Linked DNA regions of Notamacropus eugenii. The protein of the gene in region 1 interacts with the protein of each later gene in a pairwise test. Links are inferred from orthologs where the notes say so. Each region holds a gene or a part of one and is shown on either strand. Other genes may lie near its edges.

What was found.
Region 2: the proteins of AQP1 (region 1) and RGS17 interact in binary tests that used the Homo sapiens proteins (3 or more experiments, as listed by UniProt). The two-hybrid records come from large-scale screens. The link is inferred for Notamacropus eugenii from reciprocal best matches to the Homo sapiens genes AQP1 and RGS17.

What each region holds. Positions count from the first base shown.
Region 1 is NC_092874.1:486,226,517-486,238,921, forward strand, and holds the start of AQP1 (aquaporin-1), read left to right. Parts: upstream 1-7,147; 5' UTR 7,148-7,264; coding exon 7,265-7,654; intron 7,655-12,405. UniProt on the Homo sapiens protein: Forms a water channel that facilitates the transport of water across cell membranes, playing a crucial role in water homeostasis in various tissues.
Region 2 is NC_092873.1:245,566,932-245,579,450, reverse strand, and holds the start of RGS17 (regulator of G-protein signaling 17), read left to right. Parts: upstream 1-7,845; 5' UTR 7,846-7,954; coding exon 7,955-8,010; intron 8,011-12,519. UniProt on the Homo sapiens protein: Regulates G protein-coupled receptor signaling cascades, including signaling via muscarinic acetylcholine receptor CHRM2 and dopamine receptor DRD2.

The DNA.
Region 1 (12,405 bases):
TCCTGCACGGCCTGAGCTTCATTCCATTGGGCTAAGAAGGTGTCTCCAGAAGGCTCTGAGGAAATGAAACTATGCCCCAGAGAAGTGATGCGTGTTCTGAGGACCTTTACCTTAGCTGCCTATCTCCTGGAGAGCAGGTGTCCTGAGGAAGTGTGATCCCAGAAGGGGAAAGCAAGGGAGCAGAGCCGAGTGTTGGGAGCCCCACAGCCAGGAGGGGGCTGTGGGGTCAGGTGGGCCCTGAGAAGTGAGGGCCCTGCTTAGCGGTAGCGGGCAGGGGAGCAGAGCTGCCCAAATATTTCCCGTCTCCTCCACCAAGGACTTTGTCTGGCTCTCCTCCTTGGTCCACTAAGCGCTAGAGCCACGTGCTGCCAAGCTGAGGTCCTGCAGGGCCTGCTGTAATAAAGAGATGAGGATTTTTGGTAACTAGCTCCAGGATTTGCCTGAAAGCCTCAAGCTAGGTGAAGTCCTCGAGATCTTGGGATCCTCAAAGCCTTCACACCATTGGTCTTCTCCCAGGTAAACTTTAGCTGGGTCTTGACTTCCAAGTTGGACTGGGAACTACCTGAGGGTCCTTCTCTGGCTCTGGCCCCAGCACCTTCAGTACCAGCATCCACAGGCCTTGAGAACAGCTCCTGCCTTCAGGTAGCTCAGGGGACTCTGGCAAACTCTCACTACTCGGGTCCACCACAAAATGGTGGCCCAGATTAGGCTCCCATCCATGGGCTTTGAAGCCCTTATATGCTATGGTTGTATGAGTCTAGTACTCCTCCAGCTGGAGGGCTTTATTGTCTACAAGAATGAGAATGGACATGAGGCTGGGGAGAGGACAGCAGCACCTCCACCCCAACAGAATCATAGCCATGTGACTTCCCACTTTGTCCTCTCACCTCTTGCTGTACTCAACCCTCCTTCAGGGTTAGCTGGAGTTTCTGCTGGAAGCAGGCACTGGTCTAACCACTCTATAAACCCATAAACTGCTGGTAATCAGCCTGTGTTTACCTAGCACCTGCCAAAGGGCTTCAGGAGCTTCTGGGTGGAGTGGATTCGGAGCAGAGTGGATTTCTAGGTCTGCCTTGGCTCCCAGCTTAGACCTGCAAAGTTTTCTAACCAAGTCTTGTTGTAGAAAAGAGCCAGGGGTGGTGGAGTCCTTCTTTCTTGCTCAAGTGCTGCCCTCAGGGGCTGGCAGAACCAGATGAATCCCGCTTTCCTATGCCAGCCCTTCCTATATATGGGAAGGACCCCCACACTTCTCCTCTCCAGGGCACAGTTCCTGCCAGTCCTCTTGCCATCCCATTCACACAGCTTTGGATACTTTCCCCATTGGTGACAACTGCCGAGTAATATTTGGCCCCGAGCTATCATCTGACTAGGTGAGGCAGAGGATGGCTGGACTAGCACTTTCCTCATGCTGGGGCCCAATCCATTCATAAAGCCTAGTCTTATTGGCTTTGACTCATATTGAGCTTGTGGTCCACTTTGACCCCTGGGGCTTTTCCAGATGTACTGTGCTCTAACCACATTTCTTTCCCTTTTTATTTCTTCAGTTGGCTTTTTGAACCTGGATGTGTGACTTTACATTTATCTGTATTTATCTGTATGAAATTCTAGACTATGACAATAATACCTACCCTCTCTATAGTATTTTAAGATTTACAAAGTGCTTTACGAATATTTTCATTGATCTCCACAATGATCTTGTGAAGTAGGCACATTATCATCCACATTTTAGGAGAAGGGAAAAAGAATGGGCATTTATACAGCATCCGTTATACGCCAGGAGTTTTACAAATATTATCTCATTGGATCACGTTTTGCAATTGTTTTATAAACATTACATTTTATAAATGCAGAAACTGAGGCTAATTAAGCCATTTACATGGAACTGGTAAAATGGCCAGAAAGGTTTGAACTCCTATCTGTGACTACAAGTCTAGCACTCAATAGAGTACGCCATCTAGTTGCCTGAAACTTTTTGGATCCCAGAGTTGCCATCCAGCATGTTAGCTCTCCCTTCCCAGTTTCATGGTGTCCACAGATTATACAAGCAGCCTTGCTGGATTTTCATTCAATTCACTGATAAAAATGTTGAACAGACCCAGGTTGAGAACAGAGCCCTAGGGCACCCCACTAGAGACCTTCCTCAAGATGGGTGTCTCTCTCCCTCCCTTGTCCACACAATTTTCGAAAAAACATCAAACACCTCGATGGAAGCTTTCTGATGAGCCTGTTTAGCCTCCAGGGCAACAACAGAAAGGCAGGCAGTAGGGCATGTTCTTATCGAGCCCTTGATAGTGTATAGGGGTCATCCTTACCAAATCCTCATAAGTTACTTCTTTAACATGGCACCAAGACCCGAAGTCAAGTCAAGGCCACTAGCCTGTGTTCTGAAGAGCTGCCATCCTTCCTGTTGACTGCCCTTTTCCAGGCCTGGGGCTCCTCACCTGCTCTTAATTTTTCAAAGCCCTCCCTCACCCCATGGGTCTGTAATCCTTTGGCTTTTTCTCCTAATATCTGTGGTGTCCTTCTGATTTCCCTGGATATCTAGTTTCTTGAAGATAACCACCCTACACTCAGGATTCCTCTGCCTGATAGTAGGGGAGGCAATGGCTTATCTCTTAGAGAGTCTCTGGTGTGAGGAGGAAGACCCAGCTCCCATCTTCAGAAAACCTCCAGTCCGATGGGGAAACAACCTTGGCTCTCAGAGAGACCTTAGTCTGGGGAATGAGAAAAAGCCACATCTAGGAATCTATAATAGGACCCTGGCTACGGATTAGCATCCTCAAATGATGCTGAGATTCTGAACAGTCTGGTCCAGCAGTGCTCAGGGCTGTGGGAATCGAGGAGGTGAGAGGCTTGGGAAATAGTTTTGGGGGCAGGGTCAATGGGACATGGCATGGAGGCAGGAGCTTAGTAGGGGTGAGCTGTTTGGCCCTGAGAAATCATTAGAACATCAATGAAGAAAGGAAGGAAAGGGATGGGGGCTCAGGTAGGTTGGGGACTTGCTGGGTCCTTCTTTTTCTTGGACTGTCATGAACTGAACATTGGAATGCCATGTAAAGGAGCTGAAGAAGGGGCTCCTCATTCCACAGCTTCCTCCTGCTGCAGAAGTGAGCCCTAAGCTCCATCCAGGGGCTTGCCCATCCTCTCTTTCCTTCCCTGTCTCTTCAAGTCCACAAACCCTGAGGAAGCCAGAATTCTGGGCCCAGCTGGATGCTGGAAGATGGAGGAGGTGGGCATGGCTTTGGGGGAGGTATTGTCAGCCCCCAGGGAGATCCGTGCATTGGGAGATCAATCAGCCCAGCAGAGACCCAGACATCCCAAAGGGTGAGGGAAAGAGATGGGAGCCCACCCAACCATGTTTGGGTTACTGGATAACCATTCCCAATCCTCCACTGGGGAGGATTTCCTGGAGGAGGTGAGCCAGGGCCTGGGGGAGGGACAAAGACAGTAGTGACCCAGCATCTCATAGGGCTAGTCTTCCCGCTCCATTGCTATCTGCTCTGGCCTAGTGTGACTGCCCTAATCCTATCTGTCCCCATGTCAGAGGGTCACTACTCTACTCTGGGACTGATGTCAGGGGTTCCCCAGGAGCCTGTGTGTGACAAGCTTTTATCAGCAAAGACCACAAAAGAGCCTAGGCCTCAGGGTCACAGGGACCTCAGGGTCTACCTAGTCTAAAGCCCCCATTTTAGAAATGATGCAACTGAGGTGAGGGAATTTGTCCAAGGCCAACCTTGGAATCTGCCTGCTCTGGATTCCAGGCTTCTCCCACCCCCATTCATGACTGCCATTGCATCTCTTTGCCCACTCCCCACTCCTGACCACCAACTTCTTTAGACACGCTGACCTCCTCCTAGTGGGCCAGAGCCAATTCCTTCCGCCCTCCCTATACTGTGGCTATCACTCTGCCCACTTGTAAAGGCTGAGCTCTGGAACAGAGCTGGTCCTGGCTTCCCCACCCCCATTCCAGCCTAAGTCCACTTCAATCAATCAATCAATCAATCAATTCATTCAGGCTGGGCACTGTCCTTGGTGCTAGGAATACAAAGGCGAACCATCTCCACCTCCCCCCCAAAAGGAAAATAAACACACTCTGCTTTCAAGGGATTCACATTGTCTTGGAGGAAAAACCACGGAACACAAAATATACAAGAAAGCTGAGAACGCTGCGGGCAGGGCCATTCCTCCCTCCCCTTCAGGATGCCCCCTAGGCCTTCTCTACCAGGACCCAGAAACCCCTTCATCCTGGAAGCTCTCGGTGGTCAGCATTCACACTCAGGAAGTGCCTTCCAGGGCCCTTCTGCCTCTCCCTCTGACTTGACTCTTCCCAGGCAGGCACCCAGACCAGCCCCAGCTCTTTCCTCTCAGACTTGCCCCATCCTACCCCCACCTTTTCAGTTCCCTTTATAAACTTTCTCCCCATTAGAATGTAAGATCCTTGAGGAAAGGACTTTCCTGCTTTTGTGTTCACAATACCTAGCAAGGACTTCATAAATAAATATTTACTGACCCATTGTCTGAGGGCTTTGAAGGACTAGCCACTAGTAACTAGGAGGGGGTCAGAGTCTTGATGGGACTCAAATGAAAGGACCAAAGGGGTCTCTGAGTATAGTCATCCTTAGGGGTAGCTGGCCCACTCTGACCTGCGAGTGGGCCCAGCCAATGTCCCTCCCACCCCTCTCCCCAGATCCTGGACCCTAGGAAACAGATACTGGGCTCTGAGACTCTGGCCTGGGAGATGGGATTGTGCCCTTCCCCCTCCCTTGAGCTGTAGAGACAGAGAGCAAGGGACGTCCTTCACCTCTCTCAGGTCTGGCGTCAGGACCTCTTCTTAGCTCAGAGCCCCCAGGCCCAGGAAGCCCTGGATTTCTATTCTCAACTCTGTCCAGACAGTGTGGATAAAGCAGGACAGTTACGTAAGTGGGAGGAAGCACTCAGGACAGATCCTTGGGGCTGGGGGAGGAAGGACCAAACAATTTGAGCTGATTCTTAATGGACCTTCTGATCTCGATACTGGATTTTTTGTTCTCTCCCTTAAATCTGGCCCTGTCCTATTGCCACCTTTGAAGTGAGTGTCTGCAAAAGGAGAGGAAATCCGGGCTTTTGAAAGGGCACATACCTCAGGGAGGGGTGAGGAGAGGGCAGAACAGAAGAATGACGGACAAAAACCCCTTCCTTGGTCCCTGCCAAGAGACTTATTTCCTACCCAACCACTTTCATCCTTTTATCTCTGACCTTCTCTGTGCCATCCCTGAGACTTCCAGCACTCGTTGTGTTTCTCTCTTCCTGTCTCTGTCTCTTTCCTCGCTGCTTCTTTCTCTCCCCTCTCTCCTTCATTATCTCCCCTGCATGTCCCTCTCTCCTTCTCCTTTCCTTCCTCCCCTCCCCCTTCCCTTATATCTTTTTCCTCAATTCCTTTTCTTTCACATTCCTGTTTCTCTCCTACTTTCTTCTTCCTCCCCCTCCCATTTCCCCTCTCTTCTTTTACTCTTCCTCTGGGGTGAGGCAGGGGTGCTTGGGGGCACTGCCCACATTTAATGGGTGCAGACACTTACCCTCTTGTAGGAACATCTGAGCTGAGTCTCCAGATGGCAAGGAGTGTTCCGAAAGAAACTTCCCCTTTCTCCTCGGGAGGCTGGCACCTCCCCTAGTCCCATGCCCAATGATGGCCCTATCTCCCCCTCACCTGGGTTCTTTCTGTCCTCTCCATTGAACCTCCCCCCTTCCCCTTTCTCCTCTCTCCTCTCAGTCTTTTCATTTCTCTTCTATTCTCCTCTATCTCTTTCCTTAAGAAAATGTAGCTCATATTTACATAGCAGCTACCACGTACCAGACATCCTCACAACCCTGAATGGTGGCATTCAGCTGTATTCAGCTGTGTCTGACTTCATTGCCCCTTAGGGGTTTTCTTGGCATTTGCCATTTCCTTGTCCAACTCATTTTACAGATGAGGAAACTGAGGCAAACAGGGTGCCAGAGTCACACAGCTAGTGAGTGTCTGAGGTTGGATTTGAACTCAGTTCTGGCATTGAGTGCAGCCCTGGCATTTTACCCCGTGCACCACCCAGCTGCTCTTTCTTTTTTTTTTTTCTCCCCTTCCCTTTCTTCTCTGTTTTCCTCACCTCTCCTGGCTTCCTTTCCCTTCTCCTGCTCTTTGTCTTGCCTATCCCTCTCTCTTTCCTCCCTCCCCTTTCTCTTCTCTCCGCCCAGGCTCTGTCCCAGCCCCAGCCAGAGTCCTCTGTCCAGTCTCCCTGGAGATGGCAGAATGGGCTGCTTTTTCTGACCAGGAAACAGGACAAGTGCATTTCATCTGGTGCACCCGGAGGGTGAGCCTGCAGCAGCAGTCTTTGGGTGGTGGGACAGCGCCCCCCCCCAGGCAGGTAGGGTAGAGGGGGCTCCCTCAGACCTCTGTGCCCTCAGTCAGGCTTGGCCAGCCCTGTTCCAAGTAGGGGGGAGGGGAGGCAGGACAGGAGAGGGGAGGGGCCCTGGACTGGTTTCTGGCCTGGAGGTGGGGGTGGGGGCTTGGGGAGTGATCTGGCCCCTTCTTTGGGCCAGGGACTGAGCCTAACCCAGCCTGCCCCTCCTCCCCTCCACCCCCAGCAGCCTGGCCTGTCCAAGAAGCCCTGTTGCTGGGCCTCCCTCCAAGTAACGGGGCAGTGGGGAGAAGGGCTCACCCTGCCCCCCCAAGGGCAGAGGGCATCCTGGTGCCAAGGCCCAGCACAGCCCCACCACCAGAACTCCATCCTGGAGAGGGGGGCATCTAGGCTTGGGGGGAAGGAGCCCCGGGAGGGAGGCATGCTGGCATTCCTCAGAGTGCACCAAGAGGCCGTTTAGGAGAATTTCAGAAAGCCTATTAGAGCTGCCAGCCTTATCCCTGGCCCCTGCCGGCCGCAGCAGCTGGGGAGCCCTCCCCAGTCTGGCTGGGGAGGGAGGGGAGAAGAAGGAAGGGAAAAAACCAACAGTTGGCATTCACTCAGGCAGCACTCTCTCTCCATCCATCTCTCCTTCTGCCTCCCTCCTCCCGCCCCACTGGCCGGCCGGCCCCCAAGGAAAGCCAAGCCTTCCTCCTTTTGTGCTACACCCTCTCCCTCCTCCTCCTCCTTTCCCCTGCCCCCTCCCCGAGGTCCTATAAATAGCCCCAGAAGGCGGCTGTTCTCCAGAGCACTGCTCAGGCTCTGAGGTCAAGGACCAGGGTGCCAACCATCTGTGGCCACTGAGGCAGGGCAGGGCAGGACAGAACAAGACAGGTGGAGGTCGGGGCACCATGGCCAGTGAGTTCAAAAAGAAGATCTTTTGGAGGGCAGTGGTGGCTGAGTTCCTGGCCATGATCCTCTTTGTGTTCATCAGCATTGGCTCAGCCCTGGGCTACAATTACCCAGTGGAGGGCAACAAGACCTCCGGTGCCACCCAGGACAACGTGAAAGTCTCACTGGCCTTCGGCCTCAGCATCGCCACGCTGGCGCAGAGCGTGGGCCACATCAGCGGTGCCCACCTCAACCCTGCCGTCACCCTGGGGCTCCTGCTCAGCTGTCAGATCAGCATCCTCCGGGCCATCGTGTACATCATTGCCCAGTGTGTGGGGGCCATTGTAGCCGCGGCCATCCTCTCCGGCATCACGTCAAACCTCCCTGGCAACAGCCTCGGGCTCAATGGGGTGAGTGGGGGCCCTGTGGCCGGGGGTCGGGTGGGGCTGCAGACCAGCCTTGAAAGCTGGGGCTCACACTGGGGAGAAACTTGCCCCAGGGCATCACACCTTGGGGCAGACCATAGCCTCCTAAGATGCTGTCCACAGCCCAGGCTGGGGCAGGACATGCTAGCCAGTGGGCCAGACCCCCTCTCCCAGGACCTGCTCTTGAGGAAGGGCTTTGACAGCAAAGGGGGCTGGGCTGATAATGCCTTCCTCCACTTGTCTGGAACTCTTGAGTGACTCAATGCTCCCCCACCACAGGTGGTTCTTTGGGTAATTGGCCACAATCAGACACCATAGTGGGAAGACCTGGGCAGGGGCTTACCTCCCTGGTGCTTCTGAGCCCCTGGTTATAAAATGTCCACAGTGCACACACCCACCCACACAGAGACCCAAGGAGAAAAACATCATCTGGCCAAATTCGGTCAAGCAGCTGGATATTTTGAAAGCCATGAACCTGTCTGAACTCAGCCTTTTACCCATCTTATTCCAAACCTCTGTGTATTTGAGGGGTGGGGCAGGGGGGAGGTCAGAAGAATGAAAACCTTGGAATTGTCAGGTGTTCCCCTTCCCCCTGCCTTATCACCTGGGTTTCTTCTGTGCAAAGAGCTTCCAAACTCCTGCTTCTTGCCTGAGAACTAACTAGGTTCTTAACTGGAAGGAGAGCAGAGTTCAAGTTTGGCGTGGGGATGTTCTGATGGGGAGAGGTTAGGAAGGCGGACTGGAGGAGTTGCGTCCCTGCTCCCCAGACTCAGAGTGGGATAGTCGTGGGAGGCGGCAGGCACGCACGGTTTAGACTTAAGCGGGCTCCGTTCGCGGTTCTCGAGCCACCCCCCAAATATGGGAGCCAGGGTGGAAGCTGTGGAGAGGAATACCTGGGGATGGGGGGACCATGGGCGGGGTCCTTCAGCCCATTTGTACTAGGAGAGCTCTGCTTGGCTGCTTCTGGGCCCCCCGAAGGTCAGTGAAATGTGGCACACACAAGGCACCGCAGCCAAGAAGCTGTCACTGAAATCCCATTACAGGGTCTGGCTCTCACCCAAGGGACGCCTGGGTTCGAGGATGACTCCCCACCTTAGGAGGCACTGGGCATCCAGCTGAGGCTCTTCCCCAATGCCGGGGGTGGGGGTGGGGGTGGGGTGGGATGGGAGGGGTTAAGGGTGGCCCCACAGGCTGTTTGCATGCCTTGAGGTACTTTCTGTAGAGGGGACCAGTGTAGGGTGGCCTTTATTCAAGGGTGTCTGAGAACACCCCAAAGCCAAGCCCGTTAGTAACAACTGTCGGCCCTCTCAGTTCTCTTTCCCTTCTGGGACATCAGGGCAGAGAGGGGCAGAATCTCAAAAGACCTGTTCCCCTGCTCCCCATAGCCGAGCCATACTCCAGAAGACTGGACAGGGTGGGGGAGGGAGGGCAGGGGTACTGGTCAGGGGAATGAATCAGAAGTGATCTGGGGGGCAGATAGAGAGTTAGGAGGTGGGTCCAGGAACTAAGATGATAGGATATAGTACAATCTCCTCCTTTTATAGATGAGGAAACTGCAGTGACTTGTCCAAGGTCACACAGGCTGTGGGCATATGAACCTGGACATGAACCTCGGGTCCCCTTTCCACTGCCCTGTGATGCCCTGGGTAGGACCAGAGCCTACAAAAGAAAGAGGGGGTGGGGCTGGCTGAGCCAGTCAGTGGGGTCCCAGCCTGGGAGCTGAGGCCCCAGCAGGGGCTGACAGGATGTTGGGGGGCAGGGGGAGAGGCAGAGATTCTTCACTAAACGAGCCAGGGATGAGAGAGGAACGTGCCACAGAATGTTTCCAGATTGTGAGACAGGTGTGTGCGTGTGAGTGAGTGTGTAAACCCTCTTGCTAAAGTCAGCCTCTGAGGAAGCCCTGGCCCATGACCAGCCCTGGGAGACAGACAGCTTGCAGACTTGTTAATCAAACCCAGTGAGCACCCAGAGGTGGGCAATGATTAGCACTTCAGATGTTTGGCCAACACCTCACTGAGCCCAGTGATTAAGCAAACGCCCTCCTTTTGGCCGAGGCTTGAAGATTAGCTAGCCAAGGCCCCCAGTTAGCTGGAGTTTGGACTTTAGTTGGAATGTGGGGTCCACTTCCAGACCAGAACAGGTCACTGGAAAGTCTGGGTCATGCCATGACAAGCGGGCAAGTTACATGGCTAACCTCCCCTGTGGTTCTCTCTCAGTCTCAGGACCAACAGACGCCGCCCTGTTCCACCTCCCTTCCCCCTCCCCAACACCGCTCCTCACAGGGCTATCTAGGGACCAAGGAAGCAGAGATGTGACCACTCAGGTCCTCTGTCAATAGAAGGAAGTAGACGGGACCTTGCAGCTCCTCTTGTCCAACCCCCTCCTTTGACAAATGAGGAAACTGAGACCCAGAGAGATGGCACTTGACCAGGTCTCAAAGGCAGGTTCTCAGGTGCCAGGTCTCACCCTGGATAGTCCCACTTGGGTTGGATAGTGGAGCTAGACCAGTCTGGGATGAGTGAGGATAAGAGTTAAGTGAGTAGGGGAAGATAAATGCCACCTGTCCCTCAGGGAACCAGTGACTGGTGCTGAGGGAAGGTGGGAACAGAGGCAGGGATCTTCCTAGGGACATGAAGCTCTGTACATGAGGCCAGTGAGGCAAGCTTGGAGGGAGCAGGAGAGAAAGGAGGTATGATTCTGCCCCAGGAGCCTCCACTTGTCTAGGCATAAAAAGAGACATTTCTCTTCCCCCATGCCATGGGGGTGGGCATTAAACTCTCCTTGGAGGCCAGGAAAGAGGGTGGGGTAGGATGGGGTGGGGCTGATGGGGTGGGGAAAGGGAGTCTTTATCTAGCAGAAGGTTGTGGAAAGACACTGAAAAAAACAAACTGCTGTTTTGGACAAAACTCTTCAGGCTGCCTCAGTTTCCTCTTCTTTAAAAAGAGAGAGTTTGACAGGGTGATCTCTGCTTTCTCTAGGCTTCCAGGAGCTCAGCTGAGCTAGGAGGGAGCAGGAGCCTCCCTGGGGTTCCTTCTAGAGGCCTCAGCGCCCTCCCCTTGGTTCAAGGGAAGGGGATGGAAGGGGATAACCACTTCCAATGATACCAGGGTCAGAAGCCAGCCTTCCCTGAGGGGAGTGGGTCCCTTGCTGGGTTGCATAGATAGCCCCCCACCCTCCTCTGGCTCCCCATGCACCCCCTCCCCTTCATTCCCCTGAGATCTCAGATGGGCGGAAGGCCGTAGAGACCCAAGACAGCTCTCTGCTGAAAGCCCCCTCCTTGCTTGGGCTTCGGCCTCCAGGCTCCTCCCACAACCAGCCCTGGATGCCTGGGTACTTGGGCAGGACAGATCAGGAGGGGAAGGACAGGAGGCGACAAATGATCAATAGGAGACAGGGAGGAGGAGGATCTTTCTCGTTGTCCTTCCTGTCAATGATTACCTTTGGCACTTGGTGGACCTGGAAGTCCAGCAGGTGAGACTGGCTCAGCGGGACCAGAGCCAGGGCAGGAGACTGGACTTGCTCCCAATTTCCAGAAGCTAAGGAAGGTTCTGGAAGAAAGGTCTTGGGACCAAATGGCTGGGGAATAGGAAGCAAATGTGATGGGGGAGGGATAGTAAGTTGAACTTGTCTGGGGCCACCTCCACACCCTGACTTTCTGAGGGAGGAGCTGCCCTGGATCTTGCCTGGCCCATAAATGCCAACTGACCTCGGCCTGACCCAATCGCTTCAGCCCCTGTTCACAGGCCTGCACTCTAGCTTTCCTACCTTTGCTTATAGTCTTCCACTTGCCTGGAGCACCCTCCTTACTCTTACATCTAACCCATCCCTCTTCTCCTCCAAGGCTTAGGTCCTATACTGTCTCCTTCCTGGAGCCCCCAGCCCAGAGGGTACAAAGAGAGACAAGCTCAGCTTTGTAGCTGGAGAGAAAAGGACACCACCCCCACCCCAGCAAAGAATAGAGAAGGCTTTGGTCAGTGGCCAGGGCAGGGCTGGAGTCTCCCCAAGTCCGGTTTAGCCTCATATCCCTCCAGCTTCCTAGACACCTGGGCTTCCTCTCCCTCCCACTGTTGGACCCCAAAGAAGAAGGGGCCAGGCAGGGGAGGAAGGCCCTGCTTCCTACAGGTTCCTGGGTCCACTGCCTATGGGGAAGTCTGAGGCACTGACAAGGTCACCCTGTCTCACCTGCAGCAGGGGGCAGTCATTCTATTTCCCATGCGCATGTGCCTCCTGCCTGGAACGCCCCACTCCTCATCTCCACCTCCTGGAGAACATCCTCATCCAAAATGCCACTTCTTACAGAAAGCCTTCCTGATTTCCAGTTGGCAGCTTGTTTGTAGGAGGCTGTTTTCATGTGGCCTCCTCTGTTGGGCTGGAAGCTCCCTGAGGGCAGTAGGCTTGATTTGACCTTCCTATGTATCCTTGGCACCTACTTAATGCAGTGTCTCAAACTTAGTAGGCACTTCATAAATGCTAGCTGACTGACACACCAAATACCTCTCTAGACAGTCCTGCAGAAAGGTCCCTTCACTGCTGCACTTCCTGCCTACCCTTCCAATCAATCCATAGATCCACCAGAAGAGTGCCCAGGCCCGATAGATCGGACTCTTCCTGTGGGCCTGGGCTGGGCTGGCCCCTGGGACACAGACACACCAGCGAGCACTGGGAGCCTTTGGGAGCTGGAGGCTGTATCTGAGGCAGGAGGCGATGATGATGATGGTAGTGGTGATGGTGATGGT
Region 2 (12,519 bases), on another chromosome or scaffold:
TTTATTTCAAGACAGTCAAGATTCCCTTTCTACACGAAAGCCTTTTCTGATCTTTTTTCTCCTAGACACTAGTGCCTACACCTTCCAAAGTATCTTCTTGCCTACATTCTATAAATTCTCTATGTATGTGGATATGCTGTCTTTCCCCCTTAGAAAGTAAACTGCTTGAGGGCAGGAACTTTATTTTTACATTTGTATTCTCACAGCTTAGCACAGTGCCTGGTACCAATTTGAGTGTCTGATGATGCTTGTTGATTGACAGATCAGGTCAATCAGGGCCGTTTCACAGGTGTCAGTTGTATAGTGACCATTAAGTAAATCTCTTAACCTCTTAGTGTCTCAGGCAACTCTCCAAGATTATAAATTATGGATGACTTAAACCTAAAATTCCTCTAGGCCAATAAAATCACAGGTCTAGACATCCGCATCCAAAATGGTTTCATAATTCAGCATATTCATTTTAGTTTCCTATTGTACCAGCTTCTTGCTACTGAGAATCTAATTTTGGCTGCTGAGTGTGCTGTTTGGGATACTAATGCCTTAGGAGTTATCAGTTCACTTTAGGAAATAATAAATAATAATAATAGATATATACAACACTTAGAAGTTTATGAAATATTGTACACACATTATCTCATTTGATCCTCACACCAACTCTTTGTGGTAGCTGTTTTTATTATCCTGATTTTACAGATGAGGAAGCTGAGATTGAGAAAGGTTTAGTGACTTTTGCCTAGTGTCACAGAGGTAATCAGTTTCTTAGATGAGATTTGAACTGAGGTCTTCTTAACTCCAAACCTGAGCACTATCCATTGTGCTACCCAGCAGCCTGAGAAAGAACAAATAAAGTATATTAGAGATTTGTAGAGTAGGGAAGATGTAGCGTCCAAAACAGGGACTAAGCTAAAAAGCCAAGGCAATATGGGAAAAGCCCAAGGGAGGGTTGATTGAGCACAGTGGTAAATGTCCACACCATGAATCAAAGTTTCCTAGGACCCCCAAACTCTTTTCAAAGAGTTAATCCTTGTTGCTCAAATGTTTGTTTTATCCTTGTTTCCTCCTCCTCCTCCTTCAGAAGGGCTTTAAAGTTGAAAGCGTGTTACACATAGTTGCAAGCTTGTGTTCCATTCAAAAAGTCATAGCCTTTTCTTTGCTATAACCTGTTCATAGCAGTCAACATACTCTATGGCAGGGCTTCTTAAACTTTTTCCACTCACAACCCCAGGGTATATAGATACGTAATTTTTATGTGACCCAGGGTATATAGATGCATAAAATAGGTATACAAATCAAACATTTACTACTAATAAATCATAAATAAATTTATCTTAAAATAATTCTTTGGTATACATATAATATTACCATTTATTAAAATGAAAGCAAATGAGATGTGCTTATTTTTACATAAAGAACTAAATCTTGAAGGAATATTTGATACCATGAGACATAGAGCATCTTCAACATTTTTCAGAGTTTTTTGATATTTTAATTTTATGATTGTCAATGTTGAGAATGCTGCTTCACATAAATACATGGTACAAAATGGCAGAAGTATGGTTAAGGCCATTTCAGAAATTGTTGGAAATACTGTCCTAATCCCAAGCCAAAATTCATTTAATGATTTTGTATGTACAGTAAAAAAACACTGCAATTCATAACATACAAGCATCTCAAATCTGAGCATAGATATTTTTGGCAGTGTTTGTTCACATTGCGTGATGTGATGGCGTGCACAGTGCAAAGTGCACATGTTCTGTGTTCGGAAACAAGGCTTCAGTGAAGTTGCAGGATGCAAATGCTGCCAGAAACAACTTGAATTCATTACACTTTTGATTTTGAATTAATTTTTCGTCATTGAGTGTTCAGAAACCTTTTATTGTTGCAATTTTTTCGTGACCCCATGCGACCCACAGTTCAAGAAGCACTGCTCTATGGAAGCAGTACAATATAAGGGAGATACAATATAAGACAATTCCTACTGTGTGCTTTTCTCATGGAGGTTTGGTCCATGACTGCTGAAAGGAGGGAGGATATTTTCATTTCAAAGTCCAACCCCGATCTATTATCCCCATAGCTGTCAGTGATTTTCTTAAAGCTTAGGTTTGATGATGTCATTCTCTGTTACCTTCAGGATCATACTATAAAATCTTCTCTTAAGAATTTAAACTCTTTACAACCTGTTCACTTCCTACTTTTCCAACCTTATTACACATTATTCCCTTGCGCATACTCCATAGTCCAATGGAAGTTACTTAAATTATTTAATGTTTCTTATATGTCTATTAATTTCTTATCACCATATCTTTACTATAGTTTCCTCTCCTGCCTAGAATTCTCTCCCTTCTCCCTTTTTCCTCTTAGAATCTCATTTGCCTCAAGGCTAAACCCAAACACAATGTTCTATGTGAATCTTTTCCTGTTTAGTCTTTCTACTTGCTAGCATCTTCCCACCCCCACCTCCCAACAAGTTACTGTGTTTCTGCTTTTATATATTTGGCATATGCTTATATATATACAAGCTCTTTTCCCTAGGTGGATTATAAACTCCTTGAGGTCAGGAAATGTTTTATCTTTGTTTTTTCATTCCCAGTATGGTGCTGGGTGGCACCTAGCATTTAATAATTGCTTGTTGAATGATTGTCTGAAAAAGTAAGTATAAAAATACTCAAAATCTAGTATCCCATTTACTGTACTGTACTGTGCAAGAAAGGCAGTAATCATCTGAATGGCAAATGTACTACTTAATCAATTAGCCCAACATTTTCTGTTTAAAGAAAGGAAACTTCCTGGCTGTCATTTTTTAAAGTTATTACAAAGGGAGGTTTAGAACTGGCTGTCAGTCAAAACTGGTACTACCTCTGTGCCTTTGGGGTTTAATAGATTGTCACTCTATCTTATAAAAGTGTGCTTTAAAAAAAAATGAAGACTGTGAGGATAACACTAATCATTTGCTAAAACTCAATAGGAAACTAGAGTCCTTTGAAATGCAAATGAAACAATGACATTTTCCTATAGTCTTTAATTTTTAGAGTTTTTTTTTTTTGCTTCAGTTTGATTGTAGAAATATGAACTGCTGGTTAAGTTTAGGGAGTAGGAAGGGACAAAAAGGAAATTAAAGTACAAATAGTGGAAAGGAAAGGGGAAATTGATACTAAAATGCAAAGCAGAAGGTTAGTAGGTCTTTTTAAATTTGCCTTTGTTTCTAATGTTATTGCATTTGTGATAGTTACATTCTGTGTTAGAGAATGGGGAATGTGGGAGGCTGGTGAAGAGAGGATGTCACCTTAAAGAAAGAAGGTCACTAAATGACTAGAATATCCAAAAGCTGTCAATAGTTCTTTCACTGAAAGATCTTTGAGTTTCCAGTTGGCACAATGCTTAGCCTTTAGTCCTTTCTATAAGGCTGAGACAAAAGTAGGAGAGAAATGTTAACTGTCCCTAGGCCAGTAATACATGAAAGAGGTAATCCCCAAGGTTTAGAATCTCCAAACAGTGCTAGAATTTTATTGATTGTAATATTACAAAAACAGAGATATGAGCTGATATTAAAGTCCATTTCTAACCAACTGGGAAAATGCAAATGCAAACAGTTGGTTCGTTCAACTATGTGTTTTGGGGGTGTTCTTTTATGGGGAGTATTGTTTAGTTTCCTCTATAATGAGCACTTGAATGTACAGCTGAAAACTTCAGCTAAGACTTTTAAATATTAATAATAATGAGGCCTTTTCTGGATTATCATTTTTTTTTACTGTTGATTAGAATAATTTAAATTTTAGCTGTTATTCCAAAAAATATTAGCTTTTACTTTTTTAGCTGAAAAGAACCATCCTATTTATCTTTGATGACTTTTTCATGAAGAATTTTTTGTTATAGAAACACTCATGTTCATGCCAAATAAATTTAAAATTTGAAGGAGAAAAAGATTGTATATGACTGGCATTCATATCTTTAGGATGACTGGATCATTTAAAATTAGATAATTTACTTTTCATGTTTCATTTTGTATATATTGATTTTCTAAAAAACTTTGTATACATGGACATTTGTTCAGAAACCATGAGAAGTATCTGTAATAGATGTAAGATAAGATAATCTGTTTGCATGATATAAGACTGTTCCCTTGTAGGCTAACTGTGGTAGTAAAGAGAATGAACAGACTTAAGGTGTCCTGCAGAGCTTACTCAGTATAGGTGGACATCTACTTTTTGTGATTCTTTTAGACTATTGTGTAATGCATTGTGCCTGATGAATGAAATATAATCACCGGCATGATTTGTTTGTTCTCTGCCAGAATGTGGAATAGTCATAAACTGGCCAACTGTAATTTGTACCTTTTGGTAAAACATATAAAACCAATACTTTGAAAGAACAGTTTGATATTTCCCACCTGCACAAATGAATTGAAGAAATAGCCTCAAGATTTGGTCTAGCTTACTTACAGGTTCCCTGTAGTTTCTCATCAGACACATCCTTTTGGTTGATGGTACAGTTTGTGTCCCTACCCAGTCATTTCCATGTGCTGATTTGTTTTGGTTGAATTATTTGTCATAATGGAGAGTTTCTTTTTTTCTGGGAGGTAGAATTATAAAGTAATAGTGATGCCATCCAAAAAAATTAAAAGAGGAAGAGGAGAAAGAAGGAAGCATCAACCATTTTTTTAAACACAGGAATGTCTACTCAAAAAGGGAAGTGGTCAAGAAGGTCAATTTTATTATTGTCATATTAATCTCAATATAAAAACCTGTGTAGTCAGCATTAACAGTTTCATATAGTCTTCTGTTCTTTGTATGTAGTTTCCATATTGAAATTTGCATTAATAATAAAAAATCATCAAAATCAATGAATGTATTCAAGGCCTCATAAATAAATAGTGAATAGATGTTTTCAGCAGGATTTTATTCCCACTAAACTCTGTACCACTAAGCCTGTTTTGGGGAGTGCTATGTTCAGTTCTAGATGCTTTATTTTTAAAGGAAAAAAGTCTTTTACAATCATTCTTCAACCTGTCTTTCCAAACTGACTTATATCCATTCCTCTTAATGCACTTTGCATTTCAAACTGACCTATTCAATGATGCCTGTTCACAATATTCCATCTGCCCTATCCATGCCTTTATATAAGATGTCCCCTATGCCTGGAATGCTCTCCCTCTCTACTGCTGCTGCCTGGAATCCCTAACTCTCTTCCCTTCATAGTGCTTAAGGATGCCTTCTTCCTTCCCCCACCCCCCCAAAAGAACCGTTCTTTTGAATTTATTTTGTACATACTCATCTGTGGGGGGAGGGGTTAATAGCACCCACCTTCCAGTAGGGAGTTCATGAGGATGTGATAAGATAAGAATTGTAAAGGGCTTATCATGGTGCCTGACACCTAGTAAACACTATACAAATCTTAGCTATTATCACGTGCATATTGTTTTCCCCCAGGAGAATATAAGCTTCTTGAAAGGATGGACCTTTCTTCAGTTTTGTCTTTGTAGCCTCCAAACCTAGCATATAGTAGACATTTAATAAATATAAACTGTAATAAATTGTTCAGAATGTGGTTAAAGAGGGTGACCAGGAAGGTTCTGGAAGCTATATGATATTTAACTGTGGTTGAAGGAACTAGGAGTGTTTAATCTGGGGGGACGGAGGAGATCGCTTGGGAGAGTGGGGGGATAACATGAATGTAAAATTTTAGATGTTTGAAGGAAACTTCACATGGCAGTGACATTAGACATTCTATGTACTTCCAGATGGCAGACCTAGGACCAATGAGTAGGATGTAGTGACAGATTTTGCAAACAAGAACTTTATAAAAATGGAGTGAACTGAGTGGTTGCATAGCTTGCTCCCCGTCACTGTATTTATTCAAACATTATTTTGCTTCCTTTTGAGGCATTACTCCAAAAAGATCACCTATTCTATATTTTAACATAGCTTCCCTAAAAATGCTAACATCAATTTTCTTGCTTTCATTAACCATGGAAAACTAACAACTCGCATTAATAACAATTTTTAATAATGCCACTCTTTGATTTTAAGAAAATAGAGACTTCAGAATTAAAGAGGAAATGTTCATTGTAGCATCTAATGATCCTGGCAAAAGAATGAGATAGTTGAACTAATTGTTATTTAGTGCCCCTTAATTGACAAGCATTAAGTTCAGTAGATAGCCCCAGCTATCCCTTTTGAGTTCATTTGAAACCTTGGAAGACGGAGTTAGAATTCAAAATTCTTTTGATCAATTGGAGAAGTGGCTAGAACCAAACACAAACAGATCTCATAGAAACTTGTGTGATCATTTCATCTTTAATTAGAAAGTTACTCTGGTTTTGTAAAATGACTTATGGGTCAAAGCTTACATGGAAAAAGAATAAAACATACTAACATGAGATGGATGATGACTGACAAAAAAAGATTTAAAAATAATACTGGAAATCAAACTTGAAAAGAAAATATTTTTTAAAATGACACTAGAGTGCTGCTCCAAGAAAAAAGATTTGGCTGCACAATGTAAGCTAAAATTTAAACCCTCCCTTGGACACACTTCTTTGTGAGATCATTCCTTCCTCCCACTCCTGTTGTTTTGAAAGAGCATTTGAAAAAAAAAAAAGGTCCCCTCTATTGTTTTTAATCTTTATATTTTGTGGTTTAATTCCTTCCCTCAGACTTTTGATATGACTTTTGAGTTGCTATCCAGCCTCAACTTTAGTTTGGAAGAAATTTGGACTGATGTGTTTGATAAGAGGTGGAATGAAGAAAGTATTGCTACATAGGATGATAACAAAGGTGACACATAATCAGCTGCTCAACTCTTTGATACTGTTTCCACTGCCAGGGCAAAAATCTTTGTGATTTTTTTTTTAAAGAATAAACATGGTTTAAAAAGCAGTCAAACCAAAAGCAAATAAGGTAAAAGCAGCTGGATGGTCTCAATGAGTTCACAACATCAGACATGGATGAACTACACTGAGAGATGAAAAGACCTGGAAAACATGATTGCTAAGCCCATCAGTGATATTTGGAAGACAGTAAGAAGAACAGGAGAGATGGTGCAGGAGAACAAATGACCAGATTTTCAAAAAAAGGAAGGGAAGTAGTGTGTGCAAAACAAATAAAACAAAACATGAACTTTATTTTTTATTTCTAACAAAACTGTAGGACATATTAAGAGAATGGTTTGTGAACATTCAGGATGGAAATGACAGCATGGCTCCATCAAATAAACCTTGTTTCCTTTTTTGATAGGGTTATTAGACTGAGAGATTTCAGTAAGACATTTGACAAAAGGCCCTCATGCTAATTTTGTGAACAATATACTCAGATGTAGGCCAGATAATAGTTATAAGGTATATTTGAGACTGCTTTAATATCTCAACCTAAAGAACGGTTATTAAGAGAGCTATGCTTGGCCCTATGCTATATAACATTTTAATTGATGACTGCTTAGTTGAAAGTTCTAGATGGCAAGGTGGTCACCTTCATTGGATAACGAATAAAGAGGGGATAGAATGATTTAACAGCCCATTTGAAGAAGATCTGGAGACTTTGGTGGCTTGCAAATGTGATAGTATTAGCCCATGGGGTAGTATGTTAGTCAAAACAAGGTAATGCTATCCTAGATTGCCTTAAAGAAATAACATCTAAGACAATCAAAGCTGAAGGACCACTGTGCTCCACCCTACTCAAAACACATCAGGAGTACTATTCTGTTTTTGTTTCCACATTTTACATAGACAGACTAGAAAGGATGAGGAGGATACTGAGAGTACTGGAGCCAAATAAGTATCAATAGTGGGAAGAAAAGCTGTATTATCCAGGTAGAGAAGAATTAGAAGAGACAAAACAGCTGACCTCAGGTATTTGAATGACTGTCAGGTGGAAGAAGGATTAGATTAGTATTGTTGTTTGATTCTAAAGGGTAGAGACTAGAGCAATAGGTACAAGTTTCAGAGAAGCTGACAGCTAACATGAGACAAGACTTCCTAAAAATTAGAGCTATCCAGACATGTAATGGGCTGCCTCGGTAAGTATAGAGGTTTTATTTTTTATTTAAATAGATTAAAATTAAGATAAAGTTATGGAATCAGAGTTAGGAAAACTTGATTCATATCTCACATTTAACACTTACTAGTTGTGTGATATTGAGTAAGTAACTTAGTGTCTCATTTTCCTTGTATGTAAAATGAGACAGCTGAGTTTCATGGCCTCTAAATTGCTTATCACTTCCAAACCTATGATCTCATGATCTCTGTGACTATTGATCTTCAGATAGGAGCTGGAGGATCAATTTGGTGCACTGTGATAGAGGGAGTTCTTAGTGAAGTAGGACTAAATGGGAGGATGGTACAAATTACTGGGTTAGGGAACATATGTCACATATGTCCTTTCTCCGTAGTATCTTATTTGTCAATTGTTTCTCACATCCATTGTAAGTTCAGTGAATTTCAAAGAAAATAATAATGATATACAGCATTCTGTCAGTTATCAGTCAATATAGACTCTAATTAACCTAAGAACTACTAATTACACATTCAGGGCAGCATATAATTATATTATATTGTAATCCTTAGCCACTTATACATATATGCACATCACGTTCCGTGCATATGCAATTCTGAATAAAGGCTTGTGAATTTGTTCTGCAAACCAAACATTTCTGAGGTTTTCTGATAATAGATAACTATTCACTTCTGCTCTTTGACAGTATGACAGTGTATTCTCATCTTATTATATGCTTTGCATTCATCTTGAATCAGTTATTTTAAAGTGTGGATGTTTTTATTAATAAAGTTGCTATTTGGGAATTTGGATTACAATTTTATTTAATTATGATGAAATGTACATTTAAATTTTTCTTATTCTTTTTTTATAAAACCTAAATGCTCTTACATACAGCATGAACAATTTTTGAATATTTCAGACTTTTAAGTAAAAAAGATCTGATGTCAAAATTATAAAAATTAAAAACTTTAACATCTTAGTGAAACATAAAAAGCGTTCTCAGTAATAAACTTTAAATATGCTGCATTAGGGGAATGCTACAATTTGTGAAACTGAACTTTGCAGATATGAATTTTAGTGTGATATATATATGTATGTGTACACATATATTTTTGATTTAAGTTGTTTTACAAGTTTACATTTTTATTTTCATGTGTTCTTTAAGAATAAATGTTTTCTTTTACCATTTCATGTTTCATTTGTATAGGAGGAAAGGGTATGTTTGTTTTCATTTTTTGCACATCAAAGAGATACAAAGATGTTAGACAGTTGAATGCAGGCAGTTTTCTTCTCTATTATCCTACCTTTTTAGGTGGCCAGAAAGACAAATAAAATTTCATTGAGGTCTGAGTCCCTGTAAACAAAGTAGGACTCAAACCCAAGTCTTCCACACTCCAAAAATGGCCCTCTATTCACTCTGCATTTGGAGTTCCCTTATAAAATTAGAATTTGGGTCAGATAAAATGGACTTTAGGAAGAGGTACAAGGTAAAGTGACTGCTTCTGTGGTACTAGATTTATGAGGGGAACAGCCTTCCAACCTCCAATCAAACCTGCCACGTCATGCCACCATACATTTCATTCTCTTATGTATGAAACACTTGATTTCAAATAGTCTTAAATGACATGTCTTTAAGAAATGTTTGTTAACTACTTACTTATCAATCCTAATAAGATTCCTTAAAAGTTAACTGAAGGTAAGACATGAAGCATAGTTGGAGGGTGAGGTTGGGAGAGCAGGGTTAGAAAGGATTGGGAACACAGCCACTAGTAAGGAGAAAAAAAGATTCATTGTTCAGATATAAGAAGAGATAAAGAAGGTGCCAACGGCAAACTTCGCCTCGAGTTTTATTTAACTATATAACCTTGGCAGAATTGTCATTTTGTAGTCCAACCAAGTCACAAATACCAGACTAACTTTGTGGCACTATGCCACTTCAATAAATAGTTATATTATGAGGACATAGCTCATAACCTACCCTCTTTCAACTTTTCCAGTCTTCTTACACCATATTTTCCTCTATATCCAGTGGCAATGTCATCCTTGTGGTTCTTTACACTAGACAGTACATCCGCTGACTCCAAGAATTTTCATTGGCTGGCTGCCATGCCTGCAGTTCTCTCCTAACTCATCTCCATCTCCTAGCTTTCCTTGCTTTTTTAAGGTCCCAGTTAAAATCCTACCTTCTGCAAGATTCCTCATCCCCCCTAATTCTCATGCCTTCCCTCTAAGATTACTTCCAGTTCATCATGTGTATATGTTATTTGTATATAGTTGTTTGCATATAGTCTTTCTTCATTCACCTGTAGAATGTATGAGAGCAGAAACTGTTTTTTTGCCTGTCTTTGTATTCCCAGAGTTTAGCACAGGCCTTGGCACATAGGGACTTAATAAATGCTTGTTAACTTGTTGAGAAGTCTGCCAAATTCAGGACATTCACTCCTTTATTTACAAGTGAATGGAGCAAATATCATAGGGTGAGATTATTCCTGTGGCACTCAGTGAGGCTTGTTTCCTTTCTTTGGGCAGAAAATAGCAAAGCATGCAGAAAACAAAATGGCAGATTCAAGAAATCTTGTCTTCAAAACCACAAGTGAAAACCATTGCCTTGTGTAAGCAGGAGAGCTGAAATGGTTTTACATAGTTCAGCAGCTTTGGTCATTTGAAAGATTGCCAGAAAATAATCATCCAAGACGTTGTTCAGTAGTACAGCTGAACTCTTTGGGCCCCAAAATACAAGGCTCTGAGCAGGGCATTATTTAACCTGGAAAGTAAACAAGAGCAAATAGAATGCCTAGACTAAACTAACAAAAAGTAAGTAAACCTCTGGCCTTGCAATAGAATGTGACCATTCTCTCCTTTACCCAGTGGCCTCCCAGATCATTTGATTTCTCTCCTTTGAGAGCCATGAGTTGAATATTCAAAAAATATTTATTAAACCTCATCCATGTGGAACAATTATAAAATTGTGAGAAACAACATGGGAATATAATCATAAAATCATAGATTTAGAGCTGGAAAGAGCCTCAAAGGGCTTCTAGTCCAACCCCACCAACTTACAGATAAGAATAGACTCATGAGAGTTAAGTAACTTGCCCATGGTCATGCTAGTAGCAATCAGAAGCAAGATTTGAACCAAGGTCCTTCAACTCCAGAGCTAGTACTCTTTCTACTATACTATGCTATTTCCATTTTATTTCTAGAGCTAGCTAAGCTTTAGGATCACACTGCATTAGAGATTTTCACATATTTCCTCTCATATTTCAGAAGATGACCAAGTCCTTTTCTGGAGAGAATGAAAATAAAACAAAAAGGGCATTCTCAAACTGGGGGTAGAAATAGGAAGGAAACTCTAAAATCACTGACTCATTTTATACTAATGAGAACTTCTCTCCATCCTTTTGGATTTATAAATGCAGAACTCTATACTGGAGATTATTGAAATGTACATGGACATTGGGATTATGTGGCAAGATGAGATGACCTCTGATAAGAACATAACAAGACTTTTCATGTAGAAATTTCCACCTATAACTAAACCTGTGACATAACTGTACTCATTCCTTCTAGAGTTCTTCATGCAATAGGAGACTCAAAGCACCTACTACACATTTCTTTACAAACTTACTTCACATTCTATCTTTCATGGACTCTATATTCTGGTTAAACTGGCCTACTTGTTGCTCCCAGGATTTAGCATCCCATATTCTACCTTTGTTTTTTGCACAGGTCACCCTCCACATTCCTTCCTACCCCATCCCCACACCTAGAATCTACTTCTTTACTTTTACATTTTAGAATTCTTAGCTTCCTTCAAGGCTCAGCTCATGTGCCACCAACTATAGGAAACCTTACTGATTCACCAGAGGTATTCTCCCAGTGGAAAATAAACATATTGAAGGCAAGAGCTATTTCTTTTTTTTAATGATCTTTGCATCTCAGGTACCTAGCGTAATACCTTGCCCCAGCAAGATAAATATTTTTATATATAATCTCTGAGAATTCTTATCTCAACTCCTCACTGATGAGATGGGTCCCCAGAGTTTGGCCACATCCCTCCTTCAGGGGTCTGGGAGTATGCTTTAAGGATCAGGGGTGATACTTTAATGACTTTGACTTAAGCCCTCACTAGTATACTTCCTCCCATGATTATTGAAGGGAAGGAATCATTTAGTCAGCCAGCCCAAAGTATCATTTAGAAAGGGGTATTTACTAAGGAGCTGCATTAAGAAAAGTTAGTTCAAAATATCCACTCAAAAGTCTAGGACACAACCTTCCATAAATGTATGAGTAGTCCAGGGTAAAGGAAAGTGGGCTCAAGCTTAAAGAGCACATATGGAAAAAAAATAAATAAAATTATAGCTCCTAGTTACTGGAAGTCCTTTGATTTCACTTTTGGGGTACTCTTACACTCCCCTTAAACATGATGAATGTGCATCTAGTCTGTCCTTGACTTTTGATACAGATGGTTCTTTCCTCTGATGTGAGGATACGCTGCTAGGATACCAAAAAGATGATGGGAAGTCTAATA